2 linked regions of the Macaca fascicularis genome follow. The protein of the gene in region 1 purifies or fractionates together with the protein of each later gene. This does not show direct contact. Links are inferred from orthologs where the notes say so. Each region holds a gene or a part of one and is shown on either strand. Other genes may lie near its edges.

Region 1 (2,270 bases):
CATCTATTGGGGCAGGAAATAATCTAAGTGTCCTTCAATCTGTGTCCCTCATTGGGAAACTTTTTTGTGGGGGAATGGGTAGTGTTGGGATCATCCCAGCCTTAAGTAGACTGACTGCAAAGGTAGTCGTCATCTGCTGCACTGTGAGTTCTCATCCCTCCCCCTTTATTACCTCCTCCCACAGTCACGCTTGTATCTTCATCTGAAGTTTAGAAATTGTTGCTTTGGTTGACTGCCTGGTACTAACCAACAAGTGCTGTTGCTATAATTTCTAGAATTAAAAAGTTCATACATGTAAGATTTTTGTAGTTTTTCTTAATTTTTAAAGGTGTACATCTCCTGTGTTTTGTGACTGAAATTGGCTCCAGTCTCTTCATGCTGCTGTGTCCAGTCTCTGAAATAGTAATTTCACTCATGTTTGGTGGAGGATATTTAAGAAAAAAACTCTCAGAAGGGTAGCAAACTTTACTGATCCTAAAATCTAGTAGGTGAACAAAGGAAATGACAAATTTTTAATCAAAGTAAGCAATAATGACAGGTTTATTGAAAATTTCCAGTAGAGAAAACCCACTAGTTTTGGAATAAAAGTACTCAATGTACGAGAGCATAAGTGAATACAAAAGATTAACAGAAGAAAGATAAAACCAAACATAGTACAAAAAAATTTAAAAAGTTTGAAATGAATTCAAACTGGGATGTTCTTTAAATCCTCCAAATATTTAACAGTTACTAAGTTTGGCAAAAAATTCACTTGAAAATTAAAGCCTATTTCTGTACTGTAAACTCCGTAAAAACTGCTTATTAAATTCAAGCACTCCATATAACTGGTATTGAAACATGTAAGCAATTTCAGAATAGCAGGAATTATTCATTTGTTCTCACAGTTACATGAATTAACCAGCTGCAGAACTGCCTTTTGAAGAGCATGAGATAAAAGAATGCCAAAAGAGAGAGAAAAAAATGATAAAAATCTCTAAAAAATGGAAACACAGCAAAATTCAGATATCAGTTTGTTTCTTTAAAGCAACAAACTGAATTTTTACAGTATAGTCTACATTTGCAGTTGTCATTTCCCTCTTCCCCCCACCCACCTCAAATACTCCTAAATTCACTAGTCTAATCAATTCTTAACTTCCAAATACTCTGTACATACATATTTAGGAAAGAGCATATGCCTAGCATTATTCTGACAGCAAGTATGGTCAGTATACAATTTTAGAAAGATTATTATGTATATCATCAAGACTAACCTTTACTGAAAACAAACAAACAAAACCATCGCTAAACAAATAGTTTTAAAATATTATGAAAACCCATGAAAAGAAGACTCAACATGGGCTCTAAACCTGATAAAACACGTTTCAGAACAACTATTAATGCTAAACTTCTGCCCAACGATGACCTTAAAGTGCCAAACACCAAAGAATCTCTTAGGACCATTTTCTAATAGACAATTTGTCCCTGGCTTGGCCATTTCTCCTTTAACTATACACAAAGTCCTGCTAAAAGTCTGCATTTTAGTTTGATTTTACAATAGAATGTTACGATGTAAACTAAACAGGTTCTTGATATCAACAGTATGTTACCAAGGTGGGTTTTTTTGTTTTGTTTTGTTGTTTAAATTTCTGAATCCAACAGTTGGTCACAGAGGTCAAGTATTATCAAGGCTCCTTTGTCAGTTCTCAATCGTGTCTGACTCATCCATCCTTCAAGTACATGCAAGGCTCAATAGTTTTCAAGAGGCAGATGCCTGGGGCCATTTAAGACACAGATGAAATAGGATTATGAGGTGAACCCATTTGAGTAAGAACTTTATCCAGCCACTGGAGGGGGCCGTGCAGATGTATCTCAATCCAGCAGGGGGTGCTAGTAACATCCTGGCGGTGGTATTCTGCTCCCCAGCCCTAGGAAAAACATACTGGAGGTCATTTAACTTGTTTTAACTCAGTGGTTAAACTTATTAAGTAAGAAGGGTTCACATAACCAAGACTCTGATTAAAGCTATGCATCTTTCCTCCCTGCCCCCCGCCGCCGGGGAGAAAAAAACACACATATACAAACACACATATAATTTGGCAGGCAATTTCAAAGGATGGATGTTAGCTCCCCAGGGTCCATCCAAGGATTCCAATAAGAATTACCAGTCTTGAGGAATGAAGATTTTAAAATACATTATAAAGTTGTCTTAATAAAGGCACTGTAAAACTTTTATTTTAATTGCCCATTTCTGATAGTAATGTAATAGCTATTATTAAATTCTCATTTTATCA
Region 2 (4,057 bases), on another chromosome or scaffold:
ATGAAGGGTCCCAGCCTGCGAGGTCTGTCTGCAGCTCTGCCACGAGCATCCGTCCCCAGCCCACAGGTCTGCAGGCAGCTGCCACCTGAGCCCTGGCCTGGCAGGGTCAGAAGCACCCCTGCACACACACACGCACACACACAGGCACACGCACATGCACCCTCCGCAGCCCCCTCCGCGCAGAGGCGACAGTCCCTCGCTTCCATCCACAGCCCCTCCTCCCCACGATCTGACACTCTGCTGGAGGGGCGCCCAGAGAAAACCGGGCTGGAGCATCTATTCACAGATTCAGAAAAAAAAAGTTTGATGCAATAGCTGAATTAATTAGGCCTCCCAAGAATAGCTGAGCCAATGCAGCATTCTGTGTGTGCAATTTAATAAGCCTGGATATTTAAAAGAAAAGTTACACATACTTGGGGAGGTATGCAACGGAAAGTTCCTGAGGACCCCACTGAGTAATTTCGGTGCCTCGTGGCCTGGGAGCTGCCCATGCCGGATCCCGTAGATCCTCCAACTGGCAAACTACAAAGCCAGGCCAGCGGCCTCCCTCCCCGGCGCACCCCTCTGCGTTTCAGAAGGAGAGAAGGAAATGGGTGAGTCCAAAACAAATCCCAAGCCGCCAGTAACTCCAGCATGTGGGCCCAGGGGCCTGCTGACCAGGCCCTCAGCCGGGTGCCAAGTGGCCCTCACCCCACACGGGGCACTCTGGGATTTGGTCCCTGGCAGGCCCAGGGAGACCAACCAGCACAGTGCTGGAGCCGCCCAGTCTCAGGCCCCTGTCGCTGCAGCCTGAACACCTGGCTTCATTTTGTGTCTCTGTCCCAAAACTTCAAGGCAACAAACATGGACCGGGAGCCAGTAACAAAACCAGGCCTCGTCTCGCCCAAGCTCTGTCTCCTGGGGCCCAAGGGCAGGCAGCCCTCCGTCTTCGAGGCTGGGTGCCTTCGGGGTGAGGGCAGTCACCTCCACCCCAACCCCAAGGAAGACCTGGGCCTGAGGCATCCGGCTGGGGCCCAACTGGAGCTAACTTCCCTGACCTCGGAGCAGGCCGCTTTCCCGGGAGCATAGGAGGCCTGTGCCTTCCTATCCTATCTGGGCAAAGGCTATGGGCCTGTGGGCCTTCCCCACACACCAGGCCTAGCCCCCACCCCACCGCCACAGCCCCCACTCCAGGCTCCTCCTGGGGGAAAGGGCAGGAGGGCCTTCCTACTAAACCCTCTGGCCCTGCCAAGGGGAACACTCTGAATTTCCCTAAAACAAAGCAAAGACTTGACACATGGGGCACGGCAGAAACACAGGTCCCAGCCTTTGGAGACCAGAGCCTGTGGCCCAGAAGGGTCCCCCACCGCAAGCACATCCACCCCTGCTCCCAGGCCTGGGGCCACTCACCCGGGGCACCCGCCGCTTGTACTTGTTGCCGTAGTCGAACTTCTCCTTCACGTCGTCCAGGCAGCGACCGAGGCGCGCCTGCTCCTCCTTGCCCGTGTAGTCCTGGCTCAGCAGGATGTAGGCCCGCCAGTTGGCCGAGTCGAAGCCCCAGTGGCAGGTCCGGTTCTCCAGGGCCTTGTGCGAGTGCACCACGAACTTGTGCGGCGGGTACATGAGGCGGCAGTCCAGGCACTGGATGCAGGCGGCGCTCGGGCTGCTGTAGAGCTCCGGCACCAGCAGCCCCTTACACTTGCCGAAGCACTCGTGGTACACGCGGACGCTGCGCTCGCTGAGCTCCAGGCCCAGCGCCAGGCTGGCGGCCAGCTCCTTCTTGCAGGGCGGCGGGTAGGCGCCGCCGTAGAGCAGCGCGTTGCACAGGCGCTCGGCGTCCGTCTTGGTGATGAGCCCGCACGAGGGCGCCGAGAAGGGCAGGATGCCCATGACTTTGAGGATCTCCAGCTGGTCGGCCGTGCAGCGCGAGCAGTAGATGTGGAGCTCGTCGCACACCGAGTTGATCTGCTGCAGCGAGAAGTCGCGCAGCACCGAGTTGAGGATCTGCGGCAGACACAGACGCTTCTCGCCTCCCACCACGAAGCACGAGATGGTCTCGCCTTCTAGCACGGTCTCGCAGCGCTCAGTGGAGCGATCGGACGGCATGAAGAAGGGACCGGGCAGCACGGGCGGCGGCGGCTGGATGGCGGGCAGGTGCAGCACGGGCGGCGGCTCGGTGGCTGCGGGCACCGGCGCCGGCACCGCGGCCGCGCCCGCCTCCTTGGCGCTCTCCTTCTTGTAGGCCTCCTGCGCCCAGCGCGCCGAGAAGGCGGCCGGGCCGCCCAGCGAGCTCATAGAGCTCAGGTGGAACTGCTCCAGCGTCTTCTGCAGCCCCGGGTGCGGCTGGAAGCAGCCGCGGCCGCCTGCCGCCGCCTCCATGGTGCGCTCCGTCTCCCCCGGCCGCTCCCGCTCCCGCGCGCCCGGGCCCCCCCGGCCCCCGCCGCCGCCCCGCGCGCCCCGGCGGCGCCCGCGGCCCCGACCCCGGCCGCCCCCCGCCGCCGGCTCACGGCCGATCACGGCCGCGGCCTCGCCCGGGGGCGCGAAGGGGAAGGCGGGCGGGGCGAAGGGGTCCCGCCGCTGGAGCCCGCCGCCGCCCGGGCCCGGCGCCACATCCACGCGCCCCGCGCCGCGCCCGCCGCCGCCCGGGCCCCCCGCGCGTCCCCCGCGCGCCCCCCGGGCTCTAGGCGCGGGGCATGCCCCGGCGCGCGCCGCCAACGCCAACGCCAACGCTCGCGGGCCCGGGGCTCGCGGGGGGCGCGCGGGCAGGTGCCGGCGCCGCGAGGCGCGAATCGCCGCGGCGGCCGAGGCCGAGGGGCCCGGGAGGAGCGGGGGCGCGGGCGCGGGGCCCGCCGGGCCGTCCTCGCGCGGCGCGCCGCCGCCGCCCCGCTCCTCCCACCGCGCGGCGCCCGCCCGGCTCGTCCCGGCGGCGCTGGCCGGCCGCGTCGCGCCCGCCGCCGGCCCCCGGCCCGCCCGCCCGCCGGCTCCGCGGCCCGCCCGCCCGGCTTCCGGGGCGGCGGAGGCGCCTCTCGCCCGCGGCCCTCAGAGCGCGGCGGCGGCGCGGGGCTCGGGGCGCTCGGCGCACATCCTCCCGGCGGCTCGCTCCGGCTCGGACTGAGCGCCCGGCGCTGAGCTCACGCCGCCGCCGCGCCGCCCCGCCCCGCGCCGCCTGCTCCGCCCCGCGCCGGCCCCGCCCCCCGCGCTGTTTGTTGCCGTGCGTCCGCCTCAGCCCGAGCGCTGGCCAAGAATGTGACCCGCTCCCCAGTCGGGCTCTTCCAGGAACGCGCGCTCCCCGCCCGGACTCGGCCGCGCTCGGCTCCGCTCGCCCGGGACTCGGCCACGCTCGGACCCGCCCTGCCACGACTCGGCTACTCTCGGCCAGGACTCGGCTCCGCTCGGCCATGCTCGACTCCGCTCGGCCCCGCTCGGCCCCGCCCGTCGAAGGCCGCTCGGCGCGGGCGGAGGCGGAGGCGGCGGTGGCGCCCGGGGCCCCCCTTCCGGCCGAGGCCGCTTCCTGCGCGGCTGGGAAGGCGCCCGTCTCGCCGCCGCCGGGGCCCAGAAACCCACAGGCCCCCGCCACGACCGCAAACCAGCTGGGGGAGGCCGGGGGGCCACGCCACGCAGCCGGGGTTCTCCCAGGGTGGGACGCCACACAGCGGGGAGGCCCCGGACGCCTCTGGGGTCCCACACACTACCGGGACGCCACACGGTGACCTGGGGTACCACACACGAGGGGGACAGCGGCCACGCCCAGGGACCCCGCGCCGAGACAGGCACCGCGCCGCGTGACCCTGGCGGCGCAGCCCAGCGGCCCCCGCTGCCCCGTGGCCCGGTGGCCGAGTGTCCACGGCTCCCGCCCGCGCCAGCCCCGCCCCGCCCGACGGCCCCGGGCGGACTGTCCCTGATGCGCGGGCCAGGGGTTTCGGGCCTGAGAGGGGCGGCGTCGGGTGCCCCCGACGCGGCCGGTTTGCCAGCCACCCCGGCCAGGTGGCTTATCAGAATTTCGGTCCCGCGGGTCCCGGCGGGCAGGCCGGCGAGACCCTTGCCCTCCGCCCCAGGGCCTCGGAGCGCTGAGACGGCT

What was found.
Region 2: the proteins of SMAD1 (region 1) and SKI purify together in Homo sapiens (affinity purification with western blotting, with the first as the bait; 3 studies listed by BioGRID). This does not show direct contact. The link is inferred for Macaca fascicularis from reciprocal best matches to the Homo sapiens genes SMAD1 and SKI.

What each region holds. Positions count from the first base shown.
Region 1 is NC_088379.1:150,444,024-150,446,293, reverse strand, and holds the end of SMAD1 (mothers against decapentaplegic homolog 1), read right to left. Parts: intron 1,905-2,270; coding exon 1,761-1,904; 3' UTR 510-1,760; downstream 1-509. UniProt on the Homo sapiens protein: Transcriptional modulator that plays a role in various cellular processes, including embryonic development, cell differentiation, and tissue homeostasis.
Region 2 is NC_088375.1:232,546,668-232,550,724, forward strand, and holds the start of SKI (ski oncogene), read right to left. Parts: upstream 2,807-4,057; 5' UTR 2,359-2,806; coding exon 1,390-2,358; intron 1-1,389. UniProt on the Homo sapiens protein: May play a role in terminal differentiation of skeletal muscle cells but not in the determination of cells to the myogenic lineage. Functions as a repressor of TGF-beta signaling.